Cricetulus griseus: one gene and its partners. The protein of the gene in region 1 interacts with the protein of each later gene in a pairwise test. Links are inferred from orthologs where the notes say so. Each region holds a gene or a part of one and is shown in the gene's direction. Other genes may lie near its edges.

Region 1 (3,989 bases):
CCACGCTAAAGTACATGAGGTCCTTCCCCCACCCCCAAAGAAAGCAAAACAAAAAGCAAAGTAAAAACCCAAACCCGCAATGCAATGCACTTGTTCTCTTGTCTTAGATGTGAAAGGAACACCCTAGGAGCTATTGATGAAGGGAATGGAGAGAGTTCAGTATTAATGTCTTCTTCAAACGTATTTTGCGTGGCCAAACCAGGAGAGAGGAAGGTCTGTGGGGGCTGGGGAAGTGATTTCACATTTTTGATAACAGAAAGTCCTGTTACCACTGCAAACACCCAGCGTTTGAGTTAAAAAGCAGGTGAAGTCAAATTGCTAACATGTCAGCTCTTCCTCTCTCTGAGCTAAACTTTCCCCATCAATCCTGGTAGGTCACCAGGGAAAAGCAGCAGAGAAGGAAACGCTGGCTTTGGCGGCGGAGTGTCGCCCAATTAATGTCGTTCTGGGAGTCACCTGAAGCCTTCCAGCTACTGCACCCAAGGAGCAAGCTTTGCTTTTCAATTCGGTCATTTCCATGGGGAATTGCGGTACGCGCAGGTCTTGGGTGTGGCGATGTCGAGACGGAGCTCACATCTCCAGGCTTTCCACCTTCTGGCCAACCCACCCAGCTGAGAAAACTACGGATGAAACGGACCTGCCTTCCTGAAACTCAGGGACCGCGAAGGACCGAGACCAGGCGGCCACTGCCCAGCGCCAAAGCCAGGCTGCGCGCTCCGCGCGTGTAAGCTTCTCCCCAACCCGCTCTGTGCGGGGAGGCGGATCCCCTTTCCTGCGCACAAGTCCTTATATGCACCGGTTGCACCGGCCCGCCTTTACTCCAGCCCCACAAATAATTAATGGAGGAGGCTGGACGCTGCTGTCTTTTCCCGCTGCCTTTCCTCACCACCCTTTACACTATTAGAGCATCTGAATCCAGTCAAGAAACCCCAAGATGCGATCGAAGGGCCATTTTGGTGCATTGCACAAATTGGACACATTAAAAAATAGCCTTCGGATCTCTGTACAGCGAGGTTCAAGATCTGCTCTTCGATTCAGCACTATTAACCCGCAAAAACTGGGACGGAAAGGGTGCGCGCCCCTCCCCCACCCAGGCTAGTGCAGAGGGACCCGGTCAGGAAGCGCGGCCTCTCCCCAGTCGGAGACCACGCCTCCTCCCCCCCACTCCTCCCAGGAAGCGGTGATAGACAGTTCTGTGTGGTTCTCCACCCCCACCCCCCCAGCTGAGTGGAGGAGTTGATATGTCTCATTATAACAGCCAATGCAGCCGCCATCCACGCACAAGCAAAGAAGCATGTCCCATTTAAATACACCCACGCAGCCCCAGCGCCCTTAGCCGATCAGGGCGCGCAGCCCACACGCACCGCGGCTCCGGGCTTGGAGATCCGCGCAGGTCGGGCTCCGGGATCCCGCGGATCGACACTCTCGGAAGATCGGGATCTCACTCTGGTTGGGGCCCGGGTGGGCGGGGGAGGCTGGGCCCCGGGCCTCTCTGGCGGACAGCCGCATGAGGACGCGAGCGACATAGACCAGGGTGGAATTGCCAAGGCAGACGTTTCTGGCTGGTTTTGGTCCATTTCTCCCGCGAAGAGTCGACATGGCGAGCGACTCCCCAGCTCGCAGCCTGGATGAAATCGATCTCTCCGCCCTGAGGGTGAGCAGAACGTGGTTTTTTTTTTTTTTTTTTTTTTTTTTTTTTTTTTTTTTTTTTTTTTTTTTTTGTGTGTGTGTGTGTGTGTGTGTGTGTGTATGTTTGTTTGTTTTCCCCCCTTTCTTTTCAATGGTCTGGGGCTGGGCGAGGGAACGTTCCCGGTCTTCCTATCCTGATTCCAGGGCAGCGGATGGGGTTCTAGGCTGAGCCCCTACCCTACAGCAGGGGCTGGGCTGCCCTTGTGCTCCTCGACTGTGCTTCCCGAGGCTCCGCAGGGAAGCCGGTGGAGCTTATGTCAGTTTCATCTTCGATTGGTGTAAGAGAATTACATGGAAGGAGTGTGTGTGTGTGTGTGTGTGTGTGTGTGTGTGTGTGTGTGTGTGTGTGTGTGTGTGTGTGTGTGTGTGTGTGTGTGTACCCGAGCAACTGTCTCTTGCCAAGGCTCGAGACCCGACTGCTCTTTGCTGCAAAAAGAATTTCCTCAAGAATAAAGGCACTGGCCTCTCAGGTTTGCCAGCTACCTGCAAGATGCCATCGTGAGTCTAGCTGTCTCCACCAGCCGACCCTGTCGCTCCAAGGGGGCAGTAATTGCTGTTCCGGGCTGGTCTAGTAGATGGCAACTGACCCCTCCCGGGTTCTGCCTCTGGTGCGGGGGCTCAGGCTCAGCGCTTCCCTCGACGCCAGGGTGCACTCACCTTTATCTGCGGTTTGAACTCAGCCCTGCCTATGCCTTTCTAACTCGGTGACTGTGACCTTTCAGTTTTATGGCTGAACTTCAGCAGGTGAAAGGGACGCTTTAGCAGCTTCTCCCTACCACACCGGAACTCCCTGGAGAGACTGTGTGTGCGTGTGTGTGTGTGTGTGTGTGTGTGTGTGTGTGTGTGTGTGTGTGTGTGTGTGTGGTTCCCGGGTCTGTGACCAGTCCTTTGTAGAACACCTTCCCTTCCCCCAACTCTGCCGCTTTGCCTTTACCTTCTTCCGAGACACCTCAGACGTCGTTCCATTGTATTGAATAAGACTTTAGTGATCTAGAATCCATTTTGCTGTTGTTTGGAGATCATACTGCCAGGAACCCCATTGCAGCTTCGACGCTTCCCCACCCCCACCCCTAATCCCAGCACACTCCTTCGGGGAAGGGAGCCCAGCGTTCTTGCCATTTTAATTAGATGCTGCCTGCCAGGAAGGGGGTAAGGAGGGGTGGTGATGGTGGCAGCAGCAGGGATCTGAGAAAGATTGGACACCAATCTCAGTACGACTAGTTTCTTCCTCTCCTGAACTAAAAATAAAATAAAGAGCAAATGCATATGCTTGTTGCCAGTAGGGTAGGTGAGACTGAAGGGATGGTGGCTCATGTCACCGACTGTCAGTATAGGTGGAAGTTGAGTGATCTTCCTGAACACATTGTTAGATTGATGATGCTTAATCTCGAGGCCATTTACCTGTGTCTCGGAAGCTTTTCCTGCAGTTACCTCTTTCTCTACAGACATTTTTAAAAGGTAGCTACCTGTCTGATTGAAGTGATACTTTTTCCTTAGGCTCAGAGCCACTTTTCCGCCCACACCTTGAATCCTTGGCCCTTTCCTTATCTTTTGGTCCAGAAAGGTGGAGGATTCAGAGAGGCAGGCTGAGGACTGACTGACTGCCCTTTGAAACCGGCTGCGGGCTGCAGTGATAGTGGAGCAGCAAAAGCTCATTCATGCATGATTACAGTAGGCTGTCCGTTCCTCTAGTGCCCAAAGGCCACATCCGCAACCAGGGGGCAACTGAGTGTGGGGGTGGGGCTCAGAGTGGGTGCTTTGGGCCAGTGCATGTGTGACTCTCTTATCACTGTGCTCTCTTTTGCTCCACTTCTGCCTGGACCAGTGGCCCAGACTTGGGGAAGGAGGAGTGGCCAAGTGGTAGCTGCCTGAACAATGAGCCAGGCTTGTGATTTAGCTGAGACAGAATCTTAGCATCATTCTCCCTGACATGATTTTTAAGTTGGGGGGCGGGTGTATGGCTCCTGTGGGCCAGATTTTCTGAGATGCCTAGCGCACAGAACCTGTCCTCAGGGCTACTAGATTCTCATTCAGGGAGACCTGTGTCCTGTAATCTGTATTTGGAACAGGTATCTTTGCATGATTCACTAGGATTGCTCTTTGTCACCTGGGAAGCTCAAAGGATCCTCTGCCTTCACTGGGGTATGCAAAGAGCTAGGACAACAGCTACTCCCTGTGCCTGGGAGCTGATGGCTGAAAGACTTCTGCAGATGGGCAGACAGTTGTACTCAGCAGGCCTTGGAGCTTCAGGCAGTCTTGTGGTGGGTGAGGCGTGCAGGTACGTTTGCCTCCCAGGGCTA
Region 2 (4,208 bases), on another chromosome or scaffold:
CGAACACGAGCACACACCCTCAAATCCCCACACACTTTGGCTGCTAATAATTCACAGCATGTAATCCTCCCCTAAGACGCGATCTACCCCTACCCTTAACGCAAAGCTCTGCCGCCCTAGAGAAGCCTCATCTGGCAACTGCCGGGCACTGGCGCAGTGTGCAACAGGGGCGGGGGAACTAGGCGGGGCGCCTTGAAACAAGATGTGTCTGGAGTGGGCTTCAGTCTGCTTAGGCTCCAACCATTTTGGGTGGGGGCGGTGGTAACCGTGTGTGTGTGTGTGTGTGTGTGTGTGTGTGTGTGTGTGTGTGTGTAGCGGTGGGAGATACCAAATCCCCCTGTTCCTTTCCTGGGTCAGTGGCCTACCTGCAGGGCATGGGACTTTCAGATAATGTTGAGGGTTCTCAGTCTCTATGTTGAGGCGCAGTGCTACGATCCGCAACTTGCATTCTTCTCTATGCTCCTCCATGCACAAGAGGCCTGCGTTTTTCTCCGGGTCATCCCTCCCTTTCGCTACGCCCCTCTGCTTTTTTCGTCCCCGCCATATTGGGAGCCCCACCTCCCGACCACAGCAGCTTCAAGCAATGAGAATATTTTCCTTTTTCTCCGCTCCTTGAAGTCCTCCTCCGCCCCCGCCAAGGTCGTGGGTAAACTGAAGCTTTGGTGTCGGGTACTTGGGTGTTTGAGACCAGCCCTTGCTGTTTCCAGGATCACCCCTCCCCAGCGTCATAACATCCCAGCGCCTGTAGGCTTGACCCTTGGCTCCCCCAACCCTCAGCCTACACCCGGGGACAGGGGAGCTCCAGAGCCACCTTAGCAATGAAGCGAAGCAGGTGGAGGAGAGGGACTCGGGGCCAGGGTCTGCGCCCCCCGGTCCTCGCCCAGCTGTAGCTGTCTGACACTCACCCTGGCGCCGAGAGCGGTCTGCTGGGCGGCCGCTGCGCATCCATTAGCGGGTGGAGTGGCCGCTTCACTTCCGGAGCGCGGGCTCCGGGTGCCCCCCACCCCCTAGTACCCTCCCTTCTCCGTCCCTCCCTCCGTCTCCCCTCCCTTCTGATCGCGCGTTCAGCCCTCCCCGCCCCGCCCCGTGCTGCCGGGAACTGGCATCCTCTGCCGCAGAGACCGCCCGCCCAGATCTAACTTTGCCGCTCGCTCGGAGGTGGCGCGGCGGCGCCGGGGGGCGTGGGCAGGGAGGGAGAAAGCAGGGTCAGGAGGAGGGACCGCGAGGGGTGGGTCGCCGGCTCGCCAGCCCTCCATCCTTTCTGTGCACCTTGCGGTAGGCAGGGAGCAGCAGCCGCGGCGGCAGCGAGGGGCTAGTGCACACCCAGCCAGGGAGACTTAGGGAACCACGGACGGACGGACGGACGGACGGAAGGACGGAGAGGACCCTCCCCAGCGCCCCCTGAGCCATGGCCGATAGAAAGCAATCTGGGAAGGCGGCAGAGGACGAAGAGGTCCCTGCCTTTTTCAAAAACCTGGGCTCGGGCAGTCCCAAGCCCCGGCAGAAATTCTGTGGCATGTTCTGCCCGGTGGAGGGGTCCTCGGAGAACAAGACCATTGATTTCGATTCGCTTTCGGTGGGCCGGGGCTCGGGGCAGGTGGTGGCTCAGCAGCGGGATGTCGCCCACTTGGGCCCGGACCCGCACCGGCAGAGCCGGCGTGGCAGCGGGGAGCCATCTGTTGAATCAGGCCGGAAGGTGGAGATCCGGCGGGCCTCGGGCAAGGAAGCCCTGCAGAACATCTACGATCAGGTTGGTATGGGGGGTGGAGCGGAGAGCGGGGCTGAACCCTGGCATCTCGCGGAGGACCGAGCATCCCCGCGTGGCGGCGGGCACGCGGCGCTTGGAGCTCTGCCTCTCGCATCTGCACGCGCACCGCGCCCTGCCCGCCCCTTCACCGCGCAGGGTGCGGTGAGGCAAGGGTTCGCCGGTGGGCGTCTCAGCGCCTACAAAGGCTGCCCTCGCCTCCCCGTGCCTGGGAGCGTCAGGGACCAGCTGATCCCTAGGCTACAGGCGACGAGTGGCGATTGGGATGGACCACTGTGCTGTTCTTAAATCCTCCCGGGTGGCATCGGATTGCGGCTGTGGCTCAGTGCCCCACCCTTTTTTGATGCAGCTCAAAGAGCGCAGTGGAGGGCTGCAGTGAAGGCCAGACGACTTCCCTGGGGTCGAGGAGGGGAAGGGGCTCATATGGCTCCTCCGAGTGTCAAGGTCTCCGCCTTGGGAGTGCTCTGCACCAGGGTCCTGAGCTCTGAGGTCAGGACCACGGCCAGCGCCCTGAGCGTCTGAACTCGGTTCACAGCCAGTGAAGAGTTGGGGAGGCCGTGATGTCACCGAGAAAAGCTAGATAGCCATGTGGAGAACAAAGTTCTAAGTGTCTCGGCAAGGGCTTCCCAGAGCGCTTCCCCGGTGCTGTTTGGGAGGCACTTTGGGAATGGGGAGAGACTACGTGGATTATATTCAAAGAGCCAAAAAGAAAAGGAAAAAAGAGGGTGGGAGGAGAAGACTTGCATTTGAAGACAAGAGTCCCTGATTGTGTTAATGTCGAGACAAAGAAGTCTAGCTTGGTTATCCGTGGTCATAGAAAATGTTTGACATGGTCCAGTAAATCCCATCAGTGCACATTTCAAGTCCAGTGGTCTTTTCACACACATTTTCCTCCGTTTCAGGGTGACGTTTATGCTCGTATATTTTTTTCACAGCTTTAATGTCTCAACTAATCGTTTACAGTACACAGTGCCTTAATGCTCGATTGCTGCTTCTCTCCCATGCCAGTGGTGAAGACAAGACACCAATCTATGAATGACTTTATATTGAATCCCCATGTGCCTTCCCTTCTAGGGCAGCAGGGAGGTTAGTCCTAAAGGTGCTTCCTTCCAGACAGCCACTGGGAAGTTGGGGACAGTTTGCACACACTCGCTGTGGGACTTGCTTAGCATTCAGATTGTATGCTACAGAGAAAGCCTCGGAGAGCAGCTCTGGGGCAATGATTAGGGTACCACTCCCCTGTTTCCTGACGCAGCAGAGTGTTCTAGCTTTTGTCTTTTCTAGGACTACTTCTAGCACACACACACACACACACACACACACACACACACACACACACACACACACTTAATTTACATCCACCCACCCATCCTCTGATTTTTAAATTTATATTTCACTAAGAGGCAACCAGAGTCTAAATCCCAAAAGCTTGTTTTGTTCCAAGTGATCAATTGAAGTAAAAAGTTTCTTCTTTTCTTTCTTTCCTTTTCCTTCCTTTCTCTCTGTCTCTCTCTTTTGAAAAATAATCTCACTCTGTAGTTGAGACTGGACTTGAACTCATGACAATCCCAGTGCCACCAGAGTGCTGGGATTACAGATGTGAGCCACCATGACCATCGGCTCCATATGTCTGTCTGTCTGTCTATCTACCTATTGCCTATCTATGTGTTTATCTTTTCTTTTCTTTTGTGATGCTGGGGCCTGAACCCAGGGACTAGTGTCTGCTAAATAAGCATCCTATCACTGAGCTACATTTCTAACCCAAGTGTTTCAATATTGTACTTTGTACTGAAGATGGGGTAAGTATAAAATGAGTCCTTATGGGAATATGTTGGCGAAAGTCAAGACCACATAGCACCAAGGTTGAGTGAGCACTCTCAAGTCAGACACGATGTACAGGTCACTCCAACAGCTTAAAGGGAATAGCACCACTCCTGGAGGATCCACAAGAGAACACATAAAAATAACAGATGAAGTGACCTGCATAACAATAGCAGCATAATAACACCAAAAGGCAGGATGATCAGGAGTGATTGTTGGAGCATACCCTAAATTTAACAGAAACTCTAAATTGCAAATCTAGGAAACATGGAGGGGACAATTTGAAGACAAAAGCACCGGCTAAACCCTTAGTTTTAGCCCCTGCAAAGCCATCCCTGCCTCAGCTTCCTGCTCATTAGGTTCTAGAGGTTAGCTCGGCTTTTCTACAGCCCCTCTCACATTTATCAAAAAAGGGGCATTCCTGTGGGATCTTGTCATTCATAACCAGGGGTATTTACCCAGTGTGGTGCTTATGCTGTATGAATTTTTCATGTTTCACGAGAGAGTATGTGTATATGTATAATGATGGTGACTTCAGAAAGCACAGGGGTTCATTGTTTTGTCAGAATCAGTGGTCATTACTTAGATTTAGCTCTTGAGAGGGTGTCTTCAGGCTTTCAAG
Region 3 (3,500 bases), on another chromosome or scaffold:
TCTTTGAACAGAGTACTTCCAGGGCTTTCACTAGGACTGAGAGGAGGTGTTGCTTCCTGTTGTAGGGTGTTAAAGGTTTGCATACCACAGGCCCTTCCCCTTGGGGACACCAGTGAGCTCTACGGAGCACTGCTTTTAATGCTAGGAGGCCTGGAGAGCAAGCCATATGGGTGGCCTGTGAATACCAAGCCCAGCCAACTCACAGTAAGCACTCAACAACTTGCCCAGAAAGATGCTTCCAGATCAGTCTGCTATCCTAGGGCCATGTTGGAAAAAAGAGACTTGGAACTGGAATCCATAGCATAGAAGACACGGTGTGGCCACAACATGCTGAGGCCTCCTTGATCAGCTTGCCACCGTCGTGGGCTAGAGCATTGATGTACACAGCCATGCTCCTGTATGTCTTGGGCCCCTTAAGGGCACTGGCCTCTTCCACAAAGAGTTCCAGGAAAACAGTGCCTCTCTAGGTCTTCAGTTGGTTTGACATGCTTCCTCTTTATTGGAGTTGGCAGTTCCTTTTTCCGTTTTTTTAACAAGCATGGTGGAGGTCTCACTTTCCCAGCAAGGGTTGGTGACGGGCTGACTGCCAGCACAAGCCCTTGGACACATGCCTAGTTGTTTGCAAGCCCGACTTTTCACCTGGCTTCGTGTCTAAAGGACGCCATCAGTACTAAAGCCTCTTAAGTTTCAGAGTTGGCAGGAAGAGTCACCTAAACGGGAATCTTCGGCATGGAGCACTGTAGGGTCTGCTCTCCTTCGCGGGAAATGGCTCCCTTCCTGGTCTCTGGGGGTGGTGCCCTTGTGTTGGGGCCACCCCTGGTCTTCAAACCAGATTATCTGCTAAGAAGGAAGTCAGCGTGGAAGCCCCCAGGCAGCTGCTGCTCATGGCTATAGATGTGGCTGCCTGGAGTGTGAGCCATGCAGGGAAAGAGTCTGCTGCTGTCACCTGCTTCTTCCTGTCTGCACAGCCAGCCATGGTGCTTGCCTTTGGTGCCTCTTGGTGTAAAGGGCTTGTACTTGCTGATCACGGTGGCCAGACCCCGCCTTTCCTCCCTCCCAGAAGTACTGCTAACCTCGGGCTACTTTCCTCACAGACAGAGAGAGGCTTGTTGAAATGCTCCGTGCCATGAAGCAGAGGGCACTGTCCGCAGCAGTGGCAGACTCAGTGACAAACTCCTCGAGGGACAGTCCTTCCATCTCCCTGAGTGGTAAGGGAAGGACACCCCACCCTCAAGTGTCCTGTAGCTTGCGCCACAGGGTTAGAGTGGCACTCAAAGTCTTGTCTTCGTGGTGAACTTGACCTACTGGAAGCTGGGCTTCTCTCCAACCCTCTTGTGTGGTCCACCACCATCCTGGTTGTGCCTTAGGACACAATGCAAATTAGAAAGTGGGCTTGAAGTTCAGGGGAGGGCGCTGACTTCATGGAGCTGCCCATCAGCTGCGGGCCGTAGCTGTCATCCCCCAGAGAATGGGCCCGAAGCCCCTGGAGTGTTGTCCCCAGCGGAGGTTGTGCTACAGACCCTGCCTGGCTCTCCAGACACCTGCTCTCTTACTCCTCTCTGCTGCTCTCCAGCTGAAGGAAGCTGAAGCCTTGGGGTCCCATCTCTTGCTGCCTCTTCACCTGATCTCCCTAAGTTGGATGAAGTTACTTACTCCTGCCTTCTCAGCGCTTCCTGCTGCTCTTTCTCCCCACCTGTCTTCTGGGAACTGTTCACAGTTGGACTTGCTGCTAAACATGCTACTCTTCAGACTCTAGCCTCATGCAGTGTTAACATAGGATGTTCACACTGGGTCTTCCTTTCTGCAGATGTAAGCTCTAGCGGTCAACAGGGTCCTTGTGCCTGTTTTTCCACAACTTATAACCTTTCTTTCCCTCATTTTCTGTCTTTCAAAGAACCAGCCACACAGCCAGCTCCTCTAGAGACAGATCAACCTGCCGGAGTCCCTGCCTCCTTGTCAGATGTCCCAAAGGCCGTGGAGACTGGGAGACTGGAACAGCTCCGGCCTCAGGAGCTCTTGAGGGTCCAGGAGCCAGCGCCTACCAGCGGTGAGAAGGCCAGGCTGAGTGAGGCCCCCGGGGGCAAGAAGAACCTGAGCATGCTTCATTATCTCCGGGGCGCTGCGCCCAAGGACATTCCTGTGCCGTTGTCCCACAGCATCAATGGGAAGAGCAAGCCTTGGGAACCCTTCATGGCAGAAGAGTTTGCACATCAGTTCCATGAGTCAGTACTGCAGTCCACACAGAAGGCTCTGCAGAAACATAAAGGTAACAGGCCACATGCCCCCGTCACCTGTTAGGCCATTCACGTATTAATAGTACCTCTTAAACTTTAATGCCTGTAAAGCATTAAAGGTCTCACTGGGCATGGGAGTGGGTGAGGTGAACCTCAGCTTCTTTCAGACTTGTAGCAGGACCTAAAGCACCTGGTCAAGAACCACGCACCTTAGTTAGCAAATGGCAGTTCAGTAAGGCCAGAGCAAGTGTCCTCTGTGCGAGTGCAGTCCACAGCAGTGACCTTTCCAACAACCACATAAACTCACTTGGAGATCTTTTCTGGTTCGTTGCCAAGGTACTGTGTGTCCATCCCCCCAGGGCCCAGTGATTGTAGGGATAGCAGTTTTCCTGCCCTGCTCCCCCAGCAGGAATAATTCAGTCACCATGCCCTCCAGTCCATGTTAACGGCTTCATACCAAGCTCACAGACAGAGTGTGTCACTGAGCTGACTCTGCTGCTGGAGCCCAGGAAGCAAAGGCAAGAGCTCAGGTGGCTGGTTAGAGGCGGAGGCAGCATTCCTGAAGTTTGCTGGCCAGCCAGACTAAACAAAACAGGAGAGCAATAGAGGAAGAAAACCAGAGTTGACCTCTGGCCTCATGTTGCCTCACCTGTGAGGAAAAGCCCCAGGAGAGAGGTGCTAACTGGGTCTTTGTGAGTTTATTGGAAAGATGGTGCTTTGGCCAGAGGCAGCAGATTGCTCCCTGCTCCTTAAAATGGACAGGCTCTTTGAAGTGGCATCTAAGGGACACGTTGCTTAATAGTTTTCAAGTGAGGCCACCAGCAAGACTGAGCCATCTCCTTCTAGAGGGACAGTCCATGTCTTGGTCAGGGAACACCTCTGCCCTGCCCTCATGAAGGAGGCTGTGCTTACAAAGTTACAGATGTGCCCATGGGATCGGAACTCTGGTGCATGTTTGTCTCCATGGATGACTTTCAGTTGAGCCCTGCCCTTCAAGATCCTCATTTTCTCCTCCCCAGGAAGCTCAGCTGTGCTGTCTGCAGAGCAGAACCACAAGGTCGACACGTCAGTCCACTACAACATTCCTGAGCTGCAGTCCTCCAGCCGGGTTCCCTTGCCCCAGCACAATGGACAACAGGAGCCGCCAGCTGGGAGGAAGGGTCCCCCTATGCAGGAGGTGGACCAGGACTCTGAGGAGGACAATGAAGATGACAGTGAAGAGGAAGCTGAGGAAGCCCCCAGGCGCCAGTGGCAAGGGATTGAGGC
Region 4 (2,215 bases), on another chromosome or scaffold:
TGCTTCTGTTTCTTTCCCCTCTGGACAGACTGTTCAGCCAACAACCCTGCGCAGGCTCACCTGCGCCAGGAGCTGAATGACTCCCTCCAGATGGCTGAGAGGTTGACCCAGCAGTACAACGAGCTGCTCCATTCCCTCCAGACCAAGATGCTCAACACCTCATCCCTGCTGGAGCAGCTGAACGAACAGTTCAATTGGGTGTCCCAGCTGGCCAACCTCACACAGGGCGAAGACCAGTACTACCTTCGCGTCTCCACAGTGAGTAGTGTTCCAGTCACGTGCTCAGGCTAGACCCATGTGTAGTCTAGAGATAATGTTTCTCTTAGAGGTGAAATGGGACAGAGGTACCACACAAGAGCACCTGTGATTTCCACTGGCAGGGACTAGGGAAACTCTGCCTGTTTTAGGATTGAAATGCCTTCACCCTTTGAGGTCAGATATCCAAGTCCTATTTCCAAGAGAAAGAAAGTGAAAAGTTCTGCAGCTTACTAAGAATGGGGAACTTTGGACAACTTCCCTGGGTCATTGACTCATCAGCCTGGCTGCAAAGCTGCTTTCTTACCCTGGGCTGTGTTAAGTGGCACATGAATCGGTTCATTGTCAGCTAGTGAGAACAGCTTCCTTTAGTGCTAGGAACCACCCCCCACCCCCACCACCTGAACCCTTTCAACCACAGACTGGTTAGCATTTGTACAACAAAGCAAACATTGGGGCTAGGCATGCTGTAAGCCACCACTGAAGAAACTGAGGCAGAAGGGTGAAGTGCTTGAGACCAGCTGGACTATGTAGTGAGACTTCTGTCTCAAACAAAGCAAAAACAAGGAAATAAGACAAGATAACAAGAAAACATTTGAGAATAAAGTTTCTGGAATGTCTGGTCATTTTCAAACTGGGATGTTTTTGCTCTGAATTGTCTAGACATCTTGACTAGTGACAGATAACAGAATATCTGTCTTTGGTTGAGGGGGCAAAGAGAAGATCCATATCCTTTGGCAAAGAAGGGCATACTCGAGACATTGTGTAGAGACGTCTTGCTTGCCTTCTTCTGCCTAGGTGACAACCCACTCTAATAACTCAGAAGAGCCCTCCCGTGTCACTGAGGTGGTCGTGAAGCTGTTTGACTCTGACCCCATCACAGTGGTGTTACCAGAAGAAGTCTCCAAGGATAACCCTAAATTTATGGACACAGTGGCGGAAAAAGCGCTACAGGAATACCGCAAGAAAAGCCGGTGAGTAGGCAGCCTTTCTGTGACCCTAAGGGACTGATAAACAAGCCTTTCAGACCCTGGGAGGCTGGAAAGGCCTCAGGAGTCCAGACGAGGAGCAGAGTGTGCATTCTGGGCACAGTGCCTATCTCTGTAAGCTACGTAAACCCTGGGAATTTTCCTTTCTTTGCTCTGGGAAATGCTTTTCCTTGGTGGTAAGAATGTGGGTGTAGGTGGCTGTTTCTTGGGGGGATATTGATTCTCTTCTCCATTCCCTTTCTTCAGAGCGGAATGAGACAGAAGCATTGCTTTCCTGTATGTGGGGGCCTCTTGGAGTGAAGGCCCCCCTCAGCTCCCTAGAGAGCTCCGCATGTCTCCAGGCGAGTAGGCCGGGACCCCAGCAGCCTCTCCTTCCTCTGGATTCTGCACTCTAATGCCTGCACTTGCTGCTTCTGGGAAGAACTTCCCCCACGCAACTAATCCAATAAAGCCGCCTTGTGATCTGTGTCACCCGGCCTGTTTTCATACTTGATTTTCTTGTTGGCTGCATGCCTTCATTTGGTGTGGGGAAGAAACAAAGAAATCAATGTGTCAATTGGTAAAGTGCTTGTCAAGAACATGAGTTTGGTAAAGTCAGGCATGATGGCACATGCTTGTAACCTCAGTGTGGTCAAGGTGGAGGAAAGAGGGCCCTGGAGCTTGCTGGTGAGCCAGTCTCACTTGATTGGTGAGCCTCGGGTCTCATCTCAAAACACATGGGTAGAGAAGGACTGGGGGAACAACACCCGTGGTTGACCTCTGGGCTCCACACGCATGCAAAAGAAACCTTCAGAGTAAGGACTGAGATTGTAAGGTCCCACCATATAGTGGAGAGTAAATAATACTCATCATGGCAGTTGGGCAGAGGAGGGGTGACACCCTAGCTTTGAGGGAGAGAGGCATGTCCCAGTAAGCCACTGAGGCAAATTCCTGAAGCCAGAAACTATTCCTTCCTATTACAGCACTGTCCA
Region 5 (4,148 bases), on another chromosome or scaffold:
TTATGAACGTGTATGACATTTATGGAGATGTCTGGTTTGGCTTCTTCAAGTTGTGACAGTTATATGGACTGGGCATGAGATGATGGAGGTGACTGTTAAGGACAGTTGCACAACTGTTTGGTGTATACAATAACTGTCACAAACGGTGTTACACTGAGATCTTTGCATACATTTGTCCCTCTAATGATTCCCATGTGAGAGCATCTCCCCTGAGCAAACATGGGCCATGATAGGAAGCAGAACTAAATTCTAAAGAAAACACTCAGAGTAGAACTTAAATTAAGTTTTAAAAAATCAACACAAAAGAAGGCGGTAGAGGGAGAGATGAATGTGAGAGACTTGAAGCCCTCAGGGAAGGGTGTGGTGTTCGTCTTTCTCACCCCTTCAGTCGATGTTTTCCTGTCATGCAGGCCTCTAACCCTCAGCTCCCTTGACAATCTCCATGTGAAACACAGAATTTAGTCCTCCTGTCTCTGATCCTTAATTGTAGAGGATATACCACGTTGAGGGTGGATCCCTTGTCTTCCTTTTTTCAGATCTCAGAATGTTGAGATTAATGTCATGGTCCCCACATTAACAGACTTCTGACATTAATACCCAAGTCTGGAAAAGTAGGAAGGGCTCCAAACCTCCAAATGCAATGCTGGTGTCAAAGAATGATCCCCGTTCCTCTGGGAAGTCTGCAGAGTGCTTAGCGGCCCTGAGAGTCACCTTGTCTGCCTCATTCATTCACTGGATGACGTGATACAGACCCCTTCTCAGCCCTCCTGTTCCGTGGCAGAGACTAATGATGAGGGTGCAATGCATGCGATGGGAGGGCTTGGTTCTTGTTAAGCACAGTAGCTCCTGTGAATCAAAGAATTGTGATGAAGATGCAGGGACTTGTGAGTAAACACAAGTATTTGCACAGTTCCCATCCCAGTGGTAAGGACAGTCATTGCTATGGTGGCTTCAGCTTCTCACAGTGTAGCCCTTCCTTAGGTGGTTCACTCTTGTGATTCAGACTTTTAATTAGAATTAATGCAGTGGAAATTTTGACGGTGGCCCTAGATTTCTGCTATCACTCATTTTGATGAGCTGTTTTTCAGTTCTGCTCATAATGATTAAAAAAAAAAAAGCCTTCCATCATAATTTCTACTTCCATAACAACTCACTGCTAGTTCTAACTTTAAGATTTTTGGAAGGATTGATGGGGACTTACCATAGTCCATGATATTTAAGAAGAGAAAGTCTCATTAATAGAAAATGGAATCACATCCACAGTATAGAATTAGTAGCATTAGAGGGATTAACATCCAAGAGTCAGCTTACATTGTTTACAGTGTCATCTGTATGTAACAAACTGTTATGGTTTTTTTGTTTTTTGTTTTTTTTGGTTCACATTTAAAGAAATTATTTTTTATCTTTCAGAAAAAACAAGGAGGGAAATGACAACCAAAGGTTCTACAGGCATAGAAGTTCTGTTGTCAACATTAGAGGTATGTTAGTGATCCAGCTGTCACAGGAAGAGTGTCGGAGTTATTAACACACTCACGCACGCATGCATGCACACACTCACGCACACACACACTCACACAGGCACACACAGGCACGCACACACGCACACACAGAGCTGGAGGGATATTGAAATGAGCATACACATGTGAGAGCACTATTATGTGTTATGTAAACATATATTTCCCAATGGTTAAAATAACTAAAATTTCATGTTAGATATTTTAAACAATTTGTTATTATTGTGTATGTGTAGTAAGGCACACCTGCCATGGCACATGTGGGCGCCAAAGGACAGTGTGGTGGCATTGGTCCTCCCCCCGCCTTTATGTGGGCTCTGAGGGTCAGGGCTCCCAGGCTGGTGCAGCAAGCGCCTCTCCCTGCAGAGCCATCTGGCTGGCCTTGAATTTTTGTCTTTTTTTTTTTTTTAGTAAAGAACTTATTATTATTATTATTATTATTATTATTATTATTATTATTATTATTATTATTTTAAAAAGTTGACAAATATTTGTGCATATATATGGGCACATTGCCATAAAATTTTTTTTTATTAGTTCAAATTAGGAACAAGATTGTTTCACATGTCAATCCCTTCTCCCTCTCCCTCCCCTCCCCTCCAACCTCCTCCTAGCCCCCACATGCTCCCCACTCCATCCCCTCTCCACTCCCCAAGCAGGGTAGGGCCCTCAATGGGGGCTCCACAAAGTCCACTGCATCATCCTGGGCCGGGCCTGGGCCGTTCCCCATGTGTCCAGGCCAAGAGTGTAACCCTTCACGTGGGATGGGCTCTCAAAGTCCCTTCTTGCACCAGGGAACAATACTAATCCACTACCAGGGGTATTATTTTAATTATATGTGCGTATCTGTGTGTATGGGCGTGTGAGAGTGGGTACCATGGAGGTTGGAGGTGCTGGGTCCCTTGCAGCTGGAGGTCTGGGTGCTTGTGAGCTGCTCAGTGTGGTGCCCAGCAGGTTAAAGCTCTTGCTGCTGGAGCTGGTTACCTCAGGTCAAGTCCCAGGATCCACATGGGAGAGGAGAGAATCCATGTGTGCAAGTTGTCCCAGGAACTCCATGCCTACCTCTACATACAGAAATAAGTAACTGTCAGAAAAATGATGAAGATAGTGAAGTTTTAATAAAAGTATAGAAGTCAATACAATTGTGCCTAAAGAAATTAGAAAGGTCATTTGTTAGACATAGGTAGTTACCAGCAGGTTAAAACATTTGAAATAAAGAAAATAGTGTTTTAATAAAGCAAATCAACTGTTTGTTTCAGAACACGAAAGATCTTCAAACTATACTTAATATCCTAAGCATTCTTGTGGAGTTGGTATCTTCTGGTGAGTTTTGATTTACTTTGTGCTTGTAAATAGTGACCAGCTTTGTGTCCTATGTACTTTATTTAATGTTTCTTGACATTAAAATTTTAGAAATGAAACATCATGAGCTTGTTGCTCCCTGTGTCAGGGCGTGGGGAATATGTGTATGCCGGAAGGAAGGCTTGGAATGTTGGACTTTGCTACTCTCTACCTTATTCCCTTGAGCAGGGTCTGAATCCAGAACTTAAGGTTTTCAGCCTGATGGTTAGCCAGCATGTCCCATTGACCTTCCTGTCCTGTCCACAGCTTATTATTCGGGTAGCTGGGATTGCCTTACGACTGCACAGCAGGCTCTTACCCACTGAGCCATCTCTCCAGGGCAGTGCTTTCTTTTCAGTGTCCTCAGACACTTCTCAAATTATCCTTGCCTACTTATATAGCACTTATATAGCACCTTGAGCCTAGAGTGTTGGTATCATTTGTGTTATTTTTTTGTATGCTGCATTTTAGATAAAAAACTGGAACAGAACAAAATAGGAGCTGAGTATGGTGGCACATGCCTGTCTTTCCAGCATTTGCAAGCCTGGTGCAGAGAGAACACAAATTTTAAGGCGGATTTGGGCTATAATGGGATCCTGTAACCAAAACACAAAATATGATTTTGATAGTATTTAGTTTTAGAAATTAATGATTGGATTGAAACTTTTTTTGAATGCTAACTAATTATGATGCCCACTGTGGGAGGATGTGCTGATATATATATATATATATATATGGGTGTGTGTGTGTGTGTGTGTGTGTATTTATATATATATTTGCATTTTAGGTGGAGGTCGAAGAGCAAGTTTCTTAGTTGCCAAAGGTGGTCCACAAATATTGTTACAACTGCTTATGAATGCCAGCAAGGAATCCCCCCCACATGAGGAATTAATGGTGCAGACTCATTCCATTCTTGCGAAGATTGGACCAAAAGGTAAGAGTTCCATTTTTATGGTTATTAAATCCAGAACCACCTTTGTAACTTTTAATATTTATTTATTTATTTTTTGATATGGGGTTTCTCTGTGTAATCTGGCTGTCCTAGTACTTGCTTTGTAGACCAGGCTAGCCTTGAACTTACAGAAATCCACCTTCCTCTGCCTCTTGAGTGCTGCCCTGGAGAATCTTTAATCTTAAGCTGCTTACATTTTTGAAATGTAAAGCACTACTTTTTCTTGGGTTTAACAGTGGAGTGTTTTTGCAGTTAGCCAGCAAGAACTGAGGGTCACAAGATTCATAAAGAGTTGTTTTGAATGTGGTATAAAAGAGGAAGAATGCCAGTGTCACAGTGTG
Region 6 (3,500 bases), on another chromosome or scaffold:
TGTAGAAAATAAAATATTTCCTAAGCAAAATGTAACAGTCAAAACTAAGTTTGAAAGGCTCTTACATGAGCAGTAACATGGAATATAATAATTAAGCTGTATTGATATAATATGACCTTCTAGGACAGTGGTTCTCAACCTTTCTAACATTTTGACCCTTTAGTAAAGTTTATGTGGTAACCCCAACCGTAAAATGATTTCATTGCTACTTCATAACTGTAATTTTGAATTACAGTTATTTTGTTATTGTTATTCATAATTGTTATGAATTGTAATATAAATATCTGATATGCAGGACATCTGACATGTGACCCTGTGAAAGGGTCCTTTGACGCGCACGCATGCGCGCGTGCGCGCGCGCACACACACACACACACACACACACACACACACACACACCCACCCACCCCAGGGAGTCAAGACCCATAGGTTGAGAACCACTGTTCTAGGACTTGAAAAGTAGAAATGTAAAGAAAACCGAAAGATAGGAGCCACTCATCAAGAGATGAGGACAGCATCTGCTAACTTCTTAGAGAACTATCAGAAGGCCCACAAGGCAGAGCTTGATTCACCAAGACGGTAAAGGTCTTCAGAGACCATTATGTTCAACGTGCAGGCCTTTGTGTAACTGGGTTCCTTAAGCGTGACACCTAGACCTCTGTGAGACACTAAGAGGATTGGGTGGTTCCGTGACAACCTTTATTTCTATCTATATTGGATGGAAAACTTGCTTTGTTTAGTGAGTTAATGTAAAGAAAAATATTAAGTAGCTATTAGTACAGATGGCTACCAGGTATTGAAGGTGATAAAGCAGATAAAGGAAACACTTGTGTTACTAGAAATACGCATACATGCTGGGTATGGTAGTACACACTTGCCATCCCAGCACTTTAGAAACTAAGGCAGGGAGGCTGATGAGTGTTCAAAGCCAGCCTGGGCTACACAGTAAATTTTGTGTCAGAAAAAAAAAAGAAAAAAAAAAAAATCACACCCTGGGCTCAAGAGATGGTCCAGTAGGCTGAAACAGGCATGCATGCATCACACACCAAAATAACACAAATGTCTACTCTGTGCCTAGTAACAGCCATGTGCATGTTTATAAATTTAGACTCAAGTATCTCTGAGTGTGTAGTGTGTGTCCGTGTGTGTGTCGATGTTGGGTCTCTTCCTCAGTCTCCACCTTTTTGTGGGCATATGTGGGAGTCAGTTTGCTTCCTCAGTTTCTTTTCTGCCTTACTTTGAGATAGAGTTTCTCTGAACTTAGAACTTGCTGTTTTAGCTAGAGCCTTCTGAAATCTGCCACAACCAGCATTTCCTTAATGCTGGCTGGGATCCAGATTTAGATCCTCGTGCTTGCCTGGCAAACCCTTTATCAAGTGAACCCTCTCCTAGCCTTGAAATCAAGTTGTTGTTTTTTCTATAACATTAGTTTGGGTCTTTACCATTTTTAATGTAATAAACCATAAGTACTGCCTGGAAAACAAAATATTGCTAGAGAAGATGGTGATAAGCTAATTTTTCAGGTGGATATTTTCATTAATTTTAACAGCTGTGATAAAGATACCACCTATTTACAGTTCAGCATTTATCAGATGTCTGCGGTCATTACTGGAGAGTGGAATATTTGGCAGAATTTCAAGTGCTGTCATCACATGCAGGCTTCACATGGATCCCAGGGCTAAAAGAGATATGGACATATGTTGTTTGTGTTCTAACCAAACCTCAGACTCAAATCATCCCTTAGTACAGTGGTTCTCAATCTTCCTAATGCTGCAACCCTTTGTTAATACACTTCCTCATTTTGTGACCTCCAACATAAAATTATTTTGTTGCTACTTCATAACTAATTGTGCTACTGTTACAAATCACAGTGCAGACATCTGATATGCAACCTGTGAGAAGGTCGTTCAGGTGCCCAACCCGGGGTTGTGACCCATGGGTTGTGAATCCTGCCTTACTAACTTTATGGAGACAACATTTCAGCTGGCTGAGTCTTCTGTCTCTGTGTGGTTCTAACTGTGGACCTGCCCTACTCCCCTGATACTGAGCAAGTCCACTTGCTAGGACATTGAAGACCACACTTGATAACTGCTTCTTAACATGGTTGTGGTTACTGGCTACCTAATTTCTAGAATATTTCCTTCATCCAGATTATGATGATGGCTTTTCGATGAAGCATACAGCCACCGCCCGTTTCCAGAGAAACCACCGCCTCATCAGTGAGATCCTCAGTGAGAGTGTGGTGCCTGATGTGCGGTCGGTTGTCACAACAGCTAGAATGCAGGTCCTCAAGAGACAGGTCCAGTCTTTAATGGTTCATCAGGTAAGGGCAGAAGAGCTTTTGTTATAATAAAAGGAAGCTGTGCCACACATCCCAGGTGACATGGCTCTGACACAGTGTGTAAGTAAACCTGTGAAGTCGTGTCATCCGTGCCTGACTTGAGAAAGAAGCTTAAGGGAGAGGGCCATTCCAGATGTTTAGTAAGTTTGTCATTGAAAATTGTAAATATAACATTGTAGTGACAAGTATATCTTTTAAAAGATGGGTGCAAACTAAAGAATTTGGGGGCACCCCATCAGCCTTTGCTCTATTACTATAAAATGATTTTCCCAAAGAATTTACTCATTAACATAGTGTTAATGGTAGTCTTTCCCTGTGTTACATTTTTAAAATAATAGCTAGATTTTATACTAGATGATTTTTTTTTTTAATGCAAAATTAGTGGGCTAGAGAGATGGCTTAGTGGTTAAGGGTATATACTGCTCTTCAGAGAACCTGAGTTCAGTTCCCAGAACCTGTGTGAGGTGACTCACAACCACCTGTAACTCCAGCTCCTGGGAACCCAACACCCTCTTGTGGTCTCCCTGGGCACCTACTCTTGTGTATATACCACATACACATAATTAAAAATACAAAAGTGTACTTTAAAGCATAAGCTAATTTTAAAATGACATTCTCTGTGTGCTTTACATCTGCCTTAGAGAAAACGTATAATGGTTCATAATCTGGTCTGATACCTTGCAGCGAAAACTAGAAGCTGAACTCCTTCAGATAGAGGAGCGACACCAGGAAAAGAAGAGGAAATTCCTGGAAAGCACGGATTCCTTTAATAATGAGCTTAAAAGGGTACCTATTCCATTCACTGACTGCCTTTATCATGTGCCTGTTACGTCACAATGTAACTTGTACTGTCTTTATAAAAGTGTTCCCATTTTCTGGAAAAATTACAATAAATTTGAGGTATCGTGTAGTATACATTTAAGGAGTAGGCCCACAGACAATAGAGCCCGCTAATGCTTTTGTTTAAAATCTTTACATCGTGAATTATTTTCACTTTATTGTAATTTATTCATAGATGTTTTCATTAGAACTGTAGTTCAGTTAGGGGTGGTGCTATGTACCTTTGATCCCAGGTAGAGGTAAGAGAATCTCAGTGAGTTCAGGGCCAGCCTGGTCTACTTAGAGAGACCCTGTCTCAAAAAAAAAAAAAAAAAAACTT
Region 7 (3,500 bases), on another chromosome or scaffold:
GAAGTTGAGACCAGCCTGCTCTACAAAGTGATTTCCAGGACAGACAGGACTGTTACATAGTGAACCTCTGTCTCAAAACACAAAATAAAAGTCATTCTTCAGAGCCTGGCGCTGGTGGCGCACGCCTTTAATCCCAGCACTTGGGAGACAGAGGCAGGCGGATCTCTGAGTTCCAGACAAGCTTGGTCTACAAGAGCTAGTTTCAGGACAGGCTCCAAAGTTACACAGAGAAACCCTGTCTCGAAAACTCCGCCTTACTGTTATGATTATATAAATATTTCTAACTTTATACTGTAATTTATGTTACTACATTTCTATAATATTGAAGCTATGTGGGGTTGATTATTGTGATTTTTATAAAGGAAAATGTCTAACAGTTACCAAGTAGTTTTTAGTATTGTTATATAGCCAAGGCTGGTCCAGAACTCCTGCCTCAACTCTTTGAGTGCTGGATTACAGATTGACTCTATTATACGTAACTTTTATTTACTTTTTAATATTTCAAGGCCTTTTACAATTTTTGTTCTTCTAAATAAACTTTAAAATTAATTTTTTCAATATAAAAATATTTTGTTAATGAATGTGCTTTAACACTTTAAGAAACAGTAGTATTTTTTATATTACAGTGAGTTATATGGAAAAAAATCCTATATAACTTTCTCATACCATAACAATCATTTATTCTACTGCTCCTAAAATTTACTTGCCACTGTTTTGCATTTTTGTGGCACTTTGTTGTTTTTTAGTTAGGGTAGGCCAGGATGGCTTGGAACTGACTCTGTAGACCAGGCTTACCTTGAATTCCCAGAGATCTCTTCATCTCTACCTCCCAAGTGCTGGTATGAAAGGTAAGCATCGCTATACCTGTCTTAGCACTCACATGATGGTTAGTAACTGTTAGCATCTCCACTTCCAGGTTATCCAAAACCTTTTTCTGGCATCTGTGGGCACTGTACACACATGCATAGACATACATACAAGCTAAATATCCACATAAATAAAACTAAATTAAAATTAAAAACAAGCAAACAAAACAAACTAAAAGACTATTGTTGGGGCTTTCAAGATGACTTAATGGTTAAGAGCACTTGTTCCTGCAGAAGATAAGCACCCACATTGCAGCTCACAATTCTAACTCTAGTTCTAGGAGATCCAAACACCTACTTCTGACCACCTCAGGCACCAAGCATGTACATGGTTACATTTATTTATTTTGTGTATGAGTGAGTTGAGTGAATGTGTGTGTGTTCACCTTTGGAGGTGTATCCATTTTTCCCCCCAGAAAGGTTCATATAATTTGGAAGGAAGTACTCTTTTTAATAGATTTTAATAGCCAGGTTCTTGAGAGAGGCAGCATTTGAAAGAGAGAATCAGGTGGAGCTTTGTGAGTTCAAGGCTAGCCTGGGCTAACAGAAACCCTGTCTCAAAAACAAAAAAAACAAAAGAACAAACAAAAAAACCCCAAGATTTTTAATATGTTTCTTTATTTAGAAATGAGGTATTTTTAGGATTTATTTGAATTTGTTTTCTTTCAGAAATCGAGCTATAGCAGATTATCTTCGTTCAAATGGCTATGAAGAGGCATATTCCGTTTTTAAAAAGGAAGCTGAATTAGATATGGTATACTTGATTTTTTTAATGTCTTCTAATTACTCATAGTATAGTTAATGGGTGGAGTTTTACTTAAATTTGCAGTAGTTAGGTCAATTCAGCTATTCAAACCTTGCCATTTTTTATTGTGCTCTACTTAGCAGTGAACTTATTTTTCTACTTTTTTTGTATAATCATATATTTAATGTTTAAGTTTAAAGATGTCATGGTTAAGCCATCTTTTAAAGGATCTTGCCTTTTCTCCTCTAGAATGAAGAATTAGATAAAAAGTATGCTGGTCTTTTGGAAAAAAAATGGACATCTGTTATTAGATTACAAAAAAAGGTAACTAAGTCTTCTTTAGGTTGTTGTGGTCAGTGTGTTCTTACAAATTTTCTGAAAGCATTACCATAAATTATTAATCTTCTGATTCTCGTATCTGAGCTTAAAAAGAACATTTCCTTTGCTTCAAAAAAACTTTGATTTTAAGGTTATTACTGATGCATAGTAGCTCATACAGCCTGGAGTAGTGCCTTGGTTGAATTTGTATTGTCCTGACAGAGAAATTGATGCTTAAGGAATCATTTGTACCCTTAGAAGGACACAACTACTTGGAAATGGGAAAAGAGCACTACATGTGGTCTCATATGAACTATTCTTACCTCTGAGTTTTTTTTTTTAACCTGAAAGACATAAATAACAAATGCTATTCCATTTTTAAAATACATATTCTTCATATAAAAAAATGGAATATAGTAGGGTGGTTGTGGCACATGCCTTTAATCCCAGCACTTGGGAGGCAGAGGCAGGTGGATCTCTGTGAGTTCAAGGTCAGCTTGGTCTACAGAACGAATTCCAGGACAGGCTCCAAAACTACACAGAGAAACTCTGTCTCGAAAAACAAAACAAATGAAGAAGAAAAGAAAAGTTGGAATAGATAGCATTGTTCTAATACAAGCCCAGCTATAACTGTGGTGTAGGGGGGAAAAAAAACCACTAAAAATGGCAAGTGTAAAGGGATCCAGGGAAATGTGTTGATCTTCTCTGTTAATAAATGTAAATGAAAATTGTCTTTGAGTGAAATGGTTTGGGCTGGGCATAGTAACTACAGAACTTGGGAGCTGAGACAGGAAGATTATAAATTCTGGGCTACCCTAAGCTTCATAGTGAGAGCCTACCTAAAAGCAGAAAACATACAAATAAAAAACCCCAAATATGTTATAGTATGAATCTTTAACTTCATGTTCCCTCCCCAAGGTTATGGAATTAGAATCAAAACTAAATGAAGCAAAAGAAGAATTTACGTCGGGTGGTCCCCTTGGTCAGAAAAGAGACCCTAAAGAATGGATTCCCCGTCCACCAGAGAAATACGCATTGAGTGGTCATAGGAGTCCAGTCACTCGAGTTATTTTCCATCCTGTGTTCAGTGTTATGGTCTCTGCTTCAGAAGATGCTACAATTAAGGCAAGTTCTTTTTGTTTGTTCCTTTTGTTTTTGTTTGTTTGTTTGTTTTTTTTTTTTAAAGACTGTGTCTAAGTATTCTTAGCTATCACACTGGCCTTGAACTCATAGAAATCCTCCTGCCTCTCACTCCTAAATGCTGTGATTAAAAGTCATGGGTCGCCACACTCAGGTAAGGCAGACTTGATATAAATTAGGTGAAAGAAAGATTTTGAAAATTAGGATCTAAGTAGAGGAGAGTTCTGAGTTTATCTTTTGTTTATTTGTTGTTTTTTTTTTTTGTGCTCATGCTCCTTGTGTATGTATGCATACCTACATGTGTGTGATTGCCAAAGAACAAATTATGGGAGTTGTTTCTCCCTTCTACTATATGGGTTCTGGAAATCAAACTTGGAATGTAAGATTTGGTGGCAGTTGCCTTTTTGAAACTGTATAAATTAGTGATTTGG

Evidence for each region.
Region 2: the proteins of Tnik (region 1) and Dpysl2 interact in a two-hybrid assay, tested with the Homo sapiens proteins (2 studies listed by BioGRID and IntAct). The link is inferred for Cricetulus griseus from reciprocal best matches to the Homo sapiens genes TNIK and DPYSL2.
Region 3: the proteins of Tnik (region 1) and Gse1 interact in a two-hybrid assay, tested with the Homo sapiens proteins (2 studies listed by BioGRID and IntAct). The link is inferred for Cricetulus griseus from reciprocal best matches to the Homo sapiens genes TNIK and GSE1.
Region 4: the proteins of Tnik (region 1) and Clu interact in a two-hybrid assay, tested with the Homo sapiens proteins (2 studies listed by BioGRID and IntAct). The link is inferred for Cricetulus griseus from reciprocal best matches to the Homo sapiens genes TNIK and CLU.
Region 5: the proteins of Tnik (region 1) and Agtpbp1 interact in a two-hybrid assay, tested with the Homo sapiens proteins (2 studies listed by BioGRID and IntAct). The link is inferred for Cricetulus griseus from reciprocal best matches to the Homo sapiens genes TNIK and AGTPBP1.
Region 6: the proteins of Tnik (region 1) and SWI/SNF-related matrix-associated actin-dependent regulator of chromatin subfamily E member 1 interact in a two-hybrid assay, tested with the Homo sapiens proteins (2 studies listed by BioGRID and IntAct). The link is inferred for Cricetulus griseus from reciprocal best matches to the Homo sapiens genes TNIK and SMARCE1.
Region 7: the proteins of Tnik (region 1) and Pafah1b1 interact in a two-hybrid assay, tested with the Homo sapiens proteins (2 studies listed by BioGRID and IntAct). The link is inferred for Cricetulus griseus from reciprocal best matches to the Homo sapiens genes TNIK and PAFAH1B1.

The regions. Positions count from the first base shown.
Region 1 is NW_023276806.1:120,727,922-120,731,910, reverse strand, and holds the start of Tnik (TRAF2 and NCK-interacting protein kinase), read left to right. Parts: upstream 1-1,189; 5' UTR 1,190-1,597; coding exon 1,598-1,654; intron 1,655-3,989. UniProt on the Homo sapiens protein: Serine/threonine kinase that acts as an essential activator of the Wnt signaling pathway. Recruited to promoters of Wnt target genes and required to activate their expression. May act by phosphorylating TCF4/TCF7L2.
Region 2 is NW_023276807.1:221,889,561-221,893,768, reverse strand, and holds the start of Dpysl2 (dihydropyrimidinase-related protein 2), read left to right. Parts: upstream 1-1,408; coding exon 1,409-1,750; intron 1,751-4,208.
Region 3 is NC_048596.1:197,195,858-197,199,357, forward strand, and holds part of Gse1 (genetic suppressor element 1), read left to right. Parts: intron 1-1,094; coding exon 1,095-1,208; intron 1,209-1,894; coding exon 1,895-2,266; intron 2,267-3,253; coding exon 3,254-3,500.
Region 4 is NW_023276807.1:220,972,902-220,975,116, forward strand, and holds the end of Clu (clusterin), read left to right. Parts: intron 1-28; coding exon 29-258; intron 259-1,053; coding exon 1,054-1,229; intron 1,230-1,490; coding exon 1,491-1,500; 3' UTR 1,501-1,715; downstream 1,716-2,215.
Region 5 is NC_048596.1:278,623,116-278,627,263, reverse strand, and holds the start of Agtpbp1 (cytosolic carboxypeptidase 1), read left to right. Parts: upstream 1-1,348; 5' UTR 1,349-1,427; coding exon 1,428-1,478; intron 1,479-2,773; coding exon 2,774-2,837; intron 2,838-3,642; coding exon 3,643-3,789; intron 3,790-4,148. UniProt on the Homo sapiens protein: Metallocarboxypeptidase that mediates protein deglutamylation of tubulin and non-tubulin target proteins.
Region 6 is NC_048600.1:113,358,705-113,362,204, forward strand, and holds part of SWI/SNF-related matrix-associated actin-dependent regulator of chromatin subfamily E member 1, read left to right. Parts: intron 1-2,150; coding exon 2,151-2,323; intron 2,324-3,025; coding exon 3,026-3,127; intron 3,128-3,500. UniProt on the Homo sapiens protein: Involved in transcriptional activation and repression of select genes by chromatin remodeling (alteration of DNA-nucleosome topology).
Region 7 is NC_048600.1:88,139,100-88,142,599, reverse strand, and holds part of Pafah1b1 (platelet-activating factor acetylhydrolase IB subunit alpha), read left to right. Parts: intron 1-1,535; coding exon 1,536-1,620; intron 1,621-1,860; coding exon 1,861-1,935; intron 1,936-2,847; coding exon 2,848-3,054; intron 3,055-3,500. UniProt on the Homo sapiens protein: Regulatory subunit (beta subunit) of the cytosolic type I platelet-activating factor (PAF) acetylhydrolase (PAF-AH (I)), an enzyme that catalyzes the hydrolyze of the acetyl group at the sn-2 position of PAF and its analogs and participates in PAF inactivation.